2 linked regions of the Arabidopsis thaliana genome follow. The main gene of each other region encodes a partner of the protein of the gene in region 2 in a complex. Each region holds a gene or a part of one and is shown on either strand. Other genes may lie near its edges. A codon is read from its position in the direction of its gene.

Evidence for each region. The genes of interacting proteins can lie anywhere in the genome.
Region 1: the proteins of PEX22 (region 2) and PEX4 are in contact, whole or in part, in a crystal structure (PDB 6XOD), measured with the Arabidopsis thaliana proteins. Residues at the interface, in NP_566696.2 of Arabidopsis thaliana: Tyr182 (codon at 3,237), Val187 (codon at 3,252), Leu188 (codon at 3,255), Asp189 (codon at 3,258), Asp190 (codon at 3,261), Glu193 (codon at 3,270), Asp214 (codon at 3,639), Lys215 (codon at 3,642), Leu217 (codon at 3,800), Phe218 (codon at 3,803), Cys219 (codon at 3,806), Ser220 (codon at 3,809), Thr221 (codon at 3,812), Gly224 (codon at 3,821), Ser227 (codon at 3,830), Phe228 (codon at 3,833), Arg230 (codon at 3,839), Gln231 (codon at 3,842), Leu232 (codon at 3,845), Glu233 (codon at 3,848); in NP_001031939.1 of Arabidopsis thaliana: Phe78, Phe84, Lys85, Asn125, Asp127, Asn130, Leu131, Gly135, Asp136, Val137, Arg138, Gly139, Ser142, Met143, Met146, Tyr147, Arg149, Leu150.

What each region holds. Positions count from the first base shown.
Region 1 is NC_003076.8:8,966,061-8,969,896, forward strand, and holds PEX4 (peroxin4), read left to right. Parts: upstream 1-1,594; 5' UTR 1,595-1,658; exon of another isoform or gene 1,659-1,891; 5' UTR 1,892-1,922; coding exon 1,923-1,928; intron 1,929-2,011; coding exon 2,012-2,260; intron 2,261-2,342; coding exon 2,343-2,472; intron 2,473-3,024; coding exon 3,025-3,113; 3' UTR 3,114-3,247; downstream 3,248-3,836. Other genes in the region: AT5G25757 (RNA polymerase I-associated factor PAF67), read right to left, coding at 1-915, 1,047-1,400; AT5G25770 (alpha/beta-Hydrolases superfamily protein), read right to left, coding at 3,248-3,352, 3,438-3,535, 3,613-3,759. UniProt on the Arabidopsis thaliana protein: Required for peroxisome biogenesis. Necessary for the developmental elimination of obsolete peroxisome matrix proteins. May be involved in the ubiquitination of PEX5, targeting it for recycling.
Region 2 is NC_003074.8:7,700,492-7,705,387, reverse strand, and holds PEX22 (peroxin 22), read left to right. Parts: upstream 1-1,883; 5' UTR 1,884-2,169; coding exon 2,170-2,289; intron 2,290-2,547; coding exon 2,548-2,799; intron 2,800-2,875; coding exon 2,876-2,923; intron 2,924-3,035; coding exon 3,036-3,092; intron 3,093-3,170; coding exon 3,171-3,272; intron 3,273-3,578; coding exon 3,579-3,644; intron 3,645-3,796; coding exon 3,797-3,898; intron 3,899-3,975; coding exon 3,976-4,080; 3' UTR 4,081-4,385; downstream 4,386-4,896. Other genes in the region: CYCP2;1 (cyclin p2;1), read left to right, coding at 575-960, 1,215-1,461. UniProt on the Arabidopsis thaliana protein: May be tethered PEX4 to the peroxisome membrane and may be involved in a late step of the matrix protein import. Does not play a role in the biogenesis of the peroxisomal membrane.

The DNA.
Region 1 (3,836 bases), on a different chromosome or scaffold from region 2:
TTTCAGGAAAGTCCGCACTCCCGACAAGAGCTGCTGCTGCTTTACCTCGTAAAGGAACATCTTCAGCTGAAGCCTGTATGCATCCTGATTGTAATTGACAAGAGGTTCCTCGAAAGTTGGTGGTGCGGAAGGGGTGATAAACTTGGGGCATGCGTAAGAGAAGAGCTCATCATAAATACCAAAGGCCTCGTCGTCAGACCTCAGCATCCTCATCATCTTTTCACCATACTTGTCTCGCAGCTGAGAGTTGACAGACTCGTCAACGAGTTTAGTTTGAGGGCAGAGGGAGAGGGAGAGAGCAAGCAAAGCGTACATCTGCTCATTCTTCTTGAGTAATTGCTCGTACTGAGGTGACTTTTGATGGTACTGCTTAGTCTTGAAAATGTAGAGGAGAATCTTGTTGAACTCACGAACAGCATCGACATACCTCCGCAACATAAGGGTGGCAAATCCATAGTGGTAGATAGTAGCGATATGGCAACCAATGACACTGGTGTAAACACCTGGCTGAGTGATGTCAATGGGCTGCAACCATTTGAGAGCAGTGTGGTAGTCACCGAGGAGGCAGTGAACACGCAAGAGACCGACCATGCTGAAGTAACCGAGGACCTTCAAGACGTTGCTGCCACCGCTGAAATCGTAGCCATCAGTCTCAGTGAACTCAAGGCCATCCTTGTCATGCTCAAGGATCTGGATGATACAAGACTTCTCCACAAGTGCTTGCAAGAAGTTGAGCACGCCATAGACATTCCAGGCCTTATCGTGCTGTCTGAGCAATGCAATCTCCTCCTCTGTTTTGTTCTTGAGCTTTGCTCTGAATTGACAGAAACTTTGGAACTGGTAGACAAACTCATCCACCATATCCCACAACCACTGGTTCGGCAACTGCATATTCACTACGCCGTGCAACACAACCTAGAAAGAACAAACGGAAGAAGGTCTACTTACTTGTATTTATTCCCAGCCAATACATACACAAAAGAAATCAAAATCAACAACATCTCTATCTAACAAGGAAGAAGAAGTAGAAGAATTCCACAACAGACCTGAAAGAGGCTGCAATAGTTGTCATAAGAATCAATCCTCTGCTTCAACGTCGGAGACAACCTCGCATACAAATGTCGAAACCACATCTCACGGTACAGAAGACAGAACACATGGTCGTTGTCTACGTAAGGAGCAATCGCTTCCACACTTGGCCACGGCGTGTCCTTGAACAGACGCTCCGATATGCTCTGGAACGATGTCTCACACATCTGGTGGATCTCGTACACGTTCTTATCCCTTATGTGTCTGTACATGTGTGACACGAACGACTTCACCGAATCCGGCACCATATTTGGGTCGTACCCACTCTCCCTCTCCCCCGGACCTTCCTCATACTCATTGCTGCTCGCCATTCTCGCCGGATCAATTCTTAGCGGCCGCAACAATGTTAGCTCTTAACTCACTACCACCGCCTAGGGTTTCCTTATTACCACCGGTTCTATCATCCGGTTTCGTTTCCTTATTACCACCGGTTCTATCATCCGGTTATGTTTTTTTATAAAGTCATTTTAATAAAACTTTCTATGGTTCGGAAAAAAAAAACTTCACATAATCATCGCTATTCTCTCTCTCTCTCTCTCTCTCTCTCTCTCTCGCTCTCATATTTGCAGGTAAAGCTTCGTTGATTCGTCCTCTTTATGTTCAATTATAGTTTCGCATCCCTCCTATGTCTTTCTTTCTAGATCTTAAAGCAGAGTCATTGCTTAACCCTAATTATCACTGTTCTTGTATAAAACACTTTTCACCTAATCATTGAGATTGTTACGGGATCTGATAATTGCGTCTGTGAATTACAAGAAATTAGGGTTTATTTCTTCTTGATTTTAGATTGATCTTTTTGCAGTTGACAATTCGTTCTCTTTGGGAAATTAGAGATGCAGGTAAATTGCTTAATTTTTTTTTTGTTTTGTTGCAAATTCTCTGTGTATGTTTATGATTTGATTTGATTTGATTGATGTAATAGGCATCAAGAGCGCGACTGTTTAAAGAATACAAAGAGGTACAGCGAGAGAAAGTAGCAGATCCTGATATTCAATTGATCTGTGACGATACCAACATATTCAAATGGACCGCTCTTATCAAAGGACCTTCGGAGACTCCTTACGAAGGCGGTGTTTTTCAGCTTGCTTTTTCTGTTCCTGAACCTTATCCTTTGCAACCTCCTCAAGTTCGATTCTTGACCAAGATATTCCATCCTAATGTTCATTTCAAGGTTTGCATCTCTTTTTATAACAACCTTCTCCTGTGATAAAAGGAAACGCAGGTTTTTTAGTTAGTACTTGGGAATTTTGTAGACAGGAGAAATATGTCTCGACATTTTGAAGAATGCTTGGAGTCCTGCTTGGACGCTTCAGTCTGTGTGTAGAGCTATCATAGCATTGATGGCTCATCCTGAGCCGGACAGTCCTCTTAACTGCGACTCAGGTACAAAATGCTAGTTTAGTGTTTTCAAAAATGTAACCATGGGCGTTCGGGTATTCGGTTTGGTTCCCGTTCGGTTCTAGTTCGGTTCCGATTCTTTCTGTTCTCGATTTTAGGATCCATATAGGAACCGAAACAGTTTCAGTTCGGTTCAGGTTCGGGTTCGGTTCTGAAGTTTAGGATCCATTAGAATATTTTATTTCGAATATTTCAGATATTTTTTGTCTTTTTTTCCGGATATTTTGGTGTTTTTATATATTTTTCCTTATTTGGGTATTTTTGATTATTCAAACTAAAAATAACTAATATCTTTGGATATATAATCATATTTCGGATACGCAAAATATTTTGGTTCGGTTCGGGTTCAGTTCTAATTACTTTGGTTCTAGAATTTAGGATCTATTTGAGTAGTTTACCATTTCGGGTCGGATTCGGGTTGCTTCAGTTCGGATTCGGTTCTTTCAGTTTGATTATTATGCCCATGCCTAGTTTTTATAGTAAGCAACTGTTTTTTTTTTCTACTGACGCTTTTGTTGTGGTTGCTATGGAAAAAAGGGAATCTTCTAAGATCTGGTGATGTGAGAGGGTTCAATTCAATGGCACAAATGTATACACGCCTCGCCGCTATGCCTAAGAAAGGATGATGATGATGATGATCCTCTTGCTTTTTTTTTGTTTTTTTTTTTGAAATTTGTAATGATATTGATTTGCGAGAGTGAATACATTATTAACGAGAAGAAGATGATTCTTCTTTATTAGTTCACAATATTACAATCTGTCAAGTTGTCATATCTTCTTGTTTAAGGAATTTGTCAAACCAGTCTGATGATTCTTTGATCATGAAACTCGTCGCTTCGTGTCCAACTCCATCTTCTGCTTTGAACTGCTCTCTCGAAACATCAAAAGTTTTTCTTTTTCAATTCTCTATCTGGTTGCAATAGTGTTTAAAGGTTAGATCAGTGATTTACCTTGAAGTTTCCAGGAGAAGCTGTTTCCTTATACGCCTTTTCAGCTCTCTTTAACGCAAGTTCTAGTCCGCCAAGAGGACATCGAGGATCATTTGCGCCTGCATATGAAATCCGAGAAAACTTGTAAGTTTGTTGGTAGTTAGTGAGATCATACATATATATTGATTGTGCTCACCGTTAAGGATGTAAAGAGGCCGTGGAGCAATCACTGGTAATGAGTACGGTGAATCAAACTTCGAAGCTAGGCCAGGAGCTATTCTGTTCCACACCTTCTCGACTAGTTCTTTGTCGATTATGTTCTTTCCGAGATCAATCCTTGCTTCTGGAACCATAGAAGAAGAAAAAAAGCAAAGGAATTAATTATAATCCTCATACTTATTATATTGAATCATATTTTTT
Region 2 (4,896 bases):
AGATAAATGAACTTCAAAACAGAGATAAGAAAAAATGGCCACATAACATTATATGACCTATGCATAAACTCTCCTTATCAAAACATTAAACATGTATGCAGTGACCGGCAACGCGTATGCCTTTTTTCAAATAATGTATCTAACATTAATTTACATCTATATATAGTATTTACATCAAGAATATATTCCAGCGTATGTAGTAAAATTTGTGTACTGTGAGACTTTTCAAAGGAAATTGTACCGGACGAGAAAATTATGGACCAAGACCCGGAAACTTAATTTTGGGTAATAATGCTAGTAATATGCAGAAAATTAAGTGGAAAATAAAGTTATTTGTTTGATAAATGATAACTAATTTCATTGCTCAAGGTATACAAAAATCATCGGAATCCTATCTTCTCGCGAAGTGACACGTGTCAAAACCATCTCACACTCGTCCAAAGTCAGACGAAACATGATAACATCCCCACGTAACATCTTAAGCTCATCGTATCTCAACCACCCAATCTACAAGCCATATATACCCAAAACGAACTATACAACATGGCCCATTAACGAAAACTGAAGAGAACCCATGTTAACCGCAGCCGGAGACGATGAACTGGACCCGGTCGTGGGACCAGAATCGGCAACGGAAGCAGCCACTCCAAGAGTGCTGACTATAATCTCCCATGTGATGGAGAAGCTCGTGGCACGAAACGAGTGGTTAGCTAAGCAAACTAAGGGATTTGGGAAGAGCTTGGAGGCGTTTCACGGCGTGAGAGCGCCGAGCATAAGTATAGCTAAATACCTTGAGAGGATATATAAGTACACAAAATGTAGCCCGGCATGTTTCGTTGTTGGGTATGTGTACATAGACCGGTTGGCTCATAAGCATCCTGGTTCTTTGGTTGTCTCCTTGAATGTTCATAGACTCCTCGTCACTTGTGTCATGATTGCTGCCAAGATACTAGATGACGTGTAAGTAAGCCTTTCTTGAATTTCTATAATATCTTGAAATTAGACTAATCATGAAACTATAGATCATAGTTGTATCTTAATTGATTAACAAAATGAAAGATACATTTTATATCTAACCAATATAAAATGAGGACAAACTTTGTACCTATATGTATGTTAAGTGCCCCTTTTAAGTTATTGATTTCAAGGTTTCAACATGTATTGGATGAGATAAGAGAGGTTTTCGTTTTTTCTAACAAATTTCATATTCACAGGCACTACAACAACGAGTTCTATGCTCGGGTTGGAGGCGTAAGCAATGCAGACTTGAACAAAATGGAGTTGGAGCTTCTCTTTCTTCTTGACTTTAGAGTTACTGTGAGTTTTAGAGTTTTCGAGAGCTATTGCTTTCACCTCGAAAAAGAGATGCAACTAAACGACGCCGTTTCTTCCCTCAAAGATATTCAACCAATGCAAGAAAGTCTCTCTCCAGCATCTACTTTATCATCTTTATATGTTTGATATATGTATATGAATTTTTTTAATATAACTTTTAACTGAACGCGTTTGGTTGACAGAAAAAGTTTACGCACTAACTATCGAAATTTTATTTATATTTTGAAGAAATTATCTCAAATTTTTGCTAGAGAAAAATAATTGAAATCTCAAACTATGTATACTAGAGATTTTACAATGTAAATCTGTTAAGTTAAATAGTTTGTAGATTTCAACTAAATGATATAAGCTATTTTTTCCTACATTTTGCACATGTTGTTTTGTTCTTCAGGTTCATCTCTCTATTTTCTTCTTTTCACTGTAAAATGATACTCCATGATGACTTAAGTATCCAACAACAACAAACCAAAATCCAATTCTAGTTTCCTAGTTTTCTTACTCCTCCAATCGTCTTCGGTTTATCGTGTAAAATTTCCTTTACATAAGAGCAAAACGCACCGTTTCGTACAGATCAGATCCATCGCACCCTATGATAAAAAACAATGGTCTCACACGCTCATCCACCACCACGTGTTTAACAAGACACGTGTCCAAACAAATTGACTTTGCCTAGTTGTGTTCTAATGGAAAAGTAAAATTCCTCTTTTCTCTCTTAGTTCAGGGAGGAGGCTCGAGAACAGTGCCCCATATCTGAAAGCTGAAGCTAAGAATCTGGACGTTCGTGTTTAAACCGACGACGTATTTGAAATTGGCTTTGAAGGAAAGGTGAAATTAATGGCGGAATCGTCGTCGCCGTCGCCTACTGAAGAGATCGTTCGGTTGATTAAGCGTTTAAGCGCTTACGTTGCTTTCAAAATGTCAAGCCTTTTCTCCACTACATCGATTCGAAATCTGGTTCCTTTCTCGATCTCTCTCTCTATTTACAACGTTTCTGTATCGGATCTGGTGTGAATTGTGGTTTTTCGTTGGTGGGAAGTGAATCCAATTTTTGACAAATTGATCTTCAAATTGATGAAACTAATTACTTAATGTTATGATTCAGCTCAAATTTGAGTGATTTTAGGTGATTTGGGATTAGAAAGATCGAAACTTTTGAGTTATTATTGTTATGTAAGTTGATTTGTTTTTGCTATTGATGTTGTTGTGATTTAGGATTCAAGATCAATTGGTGCGATTGCGGGGCTTGCGATTGCGGTGATATTTACGTGGAGGGCGATAAGAACGCCCGGAGAGCAACGTCAGAGAAGGCAGCCGAAGCGTAGGATTCACAATGCTGAAACGTCTAGTGCTGCTGCTGCTGCTTCTCAGTCGAATCTAGCTTCTTCGGTTGCTCCGGAAGTTTCTTCGCCTCGTGAGGATAATGCGGTGCAAGATGTTGTTGATCAGTTCTTTCAACCTGTTAAAGTAACATTCTTTTTCTCTAAACAGTTTGAAATTTTGTGTTATAGAGTATTATTCACTTTGTTCTGTATTTTTGCAGCCTACTTTGGGGCAAATAGTTAGACAGAAGCTTAGTGAAGGAAGGAAGGTAATTTTATATCAGTATTAATATTCTCAGAGCTATGGATAGTGTTTGGTCATGTTAGGCACCTTATTGAAGCGTTGGTTTTATTATTGAGTTGTCTAATATGCATTTGTAGGTAACATGCCGTCTTCTTGGAGTAATTCTTGAGGAAACAAGTCCAGAAGAACTCCAAGTAATGATATTTTCGTTTTGAGATTTTATTTATATAGTGTGTGATGCGTTTGTATCTGAGACGAGTGATTTTATGCAGAAACAAGCCACAGTGAGGTCATCTGTTTTGGAAGTTCTACTAGAGATTACAAAGTATAGTGATTTGTATCTTATGGAAAGAGTTCTTGACGATGAAAGCGAGGTGAGCATTTGTTTTTCTCTCTCATTCGTGTTCTTTTGTTTGCCTTCGTGTTGGAACTAGTCTCTAGTAGGACAGAGTAAATTAGTTGTGGTTATTATTGAACATGGTTAGCTTAAATACTCGGGCAGTAGGTCATAACATTACATGGATATTCATATCGATAATAGTTGGTCGATGAATAATGTGTAATTAGAAGGATTCTTAAGCACATATCTTTACATTATTAGAGGAATCGAGTTCATTGGTGTTACTATATGCTTATTGTCAGTAGTTTCTGAAACTCACATTTTGAGCTCTAATTTGCAGGCCAAAGTTTTACAGGCTTTAGAGAATGCAGGAGTTTTTACATCTGGTGGTTTAGTCAAAGATAAGGTATTCAAATCAAGCTTTCTTCTACAAAATCTTGCACTCGTTAGCGGTCTTAGAAAGCCTTCCAATAATCGTATCAAAGCATGACTTTCGATATTGCTGTGTATGTTTCGAGAAAATGTAAGAATCACAATTCTGTAAACATGAAATTGCAGGTGCTCTTTTGTAGTACAGAGATAGGAAGAACTTCCTTTGTCAGACAGCTAGAACCTGACTGGCATATTGATACAAACCCGGAAATCAGCACACAACTAGCTGTAAAGTCATTTCCTTGTTTACTCATTTACATTCTTACCTTAGCTTTTAGTTTAACTCATTCCCCTCTTATTTGCAGAGGTTCATCAAATATCAGCTTCATGTCGCTACGGTGAAACCCGAGCGAACAGCTCCAAATGTGTTCACCTCGCAGTCAATAGAACAGTTCTTTGGAAGTGTTTAATATCAACAAAAAAAGAGAGGTGAAAGATATTACGTTGTCCTGACTTAAGCATCGTTGATCGAGTGTCTCTTAGGCTGAAACTTGAAACTTGTTTTTCATTTTTCTTTGATTGTGTCTAAATTAAAGTTTGATATACATTTGGAGTTAGATATTACTGCGAGTGCCTCTGTGAAAGTATCCAAGTTTGTAATTTTTGTATTAGCAACTTAGCAAAATTCTTTAAGAAATAAACAAATGTCCGTTGTTTAGTCATTAGTTCATCGACGAAGTGTGGATTAGTTCTATATCGAAATGCTTAAAGAAAATATGACTTGCTTATATTTTTCCTTGATTTAATTCATTTATATTATAAAGTAATACTTCATATAGTTGGTAAAAAAAATCCTGATCTGTATGTGAAAAACAGTGGATGATCAAATAAAACTGTGTACTGAATTGTCCTAATTGGAACATTTGTGGTATTAAGAGAAAACAAAGAGATCTTCTAGACATTGCCGTGTAATACTAAGATCAATTAATTCTGTGAAAAACAGTGGATGATCAAATAAAACTGTGTACTGAAGTTTCCTAATTGGAACATTTGTGGTATTAAGTGAAAACAAAGAGATCTCGACATGCCGTGTAATAATATTAAGATCAATTAATTGCGTAAGACGTGATATTTATGCATGCATTTATAGAAACTTTGAAGACGCGTTATGTGTATAAAACAACATCATAGTGCATTTTTAATAAAAAAAGTTTATTTGGAATATTTGAGTAGGTGGTTAGTCCAATATATAAAATTGAATTACATATAATCTTACAAGTAAACAC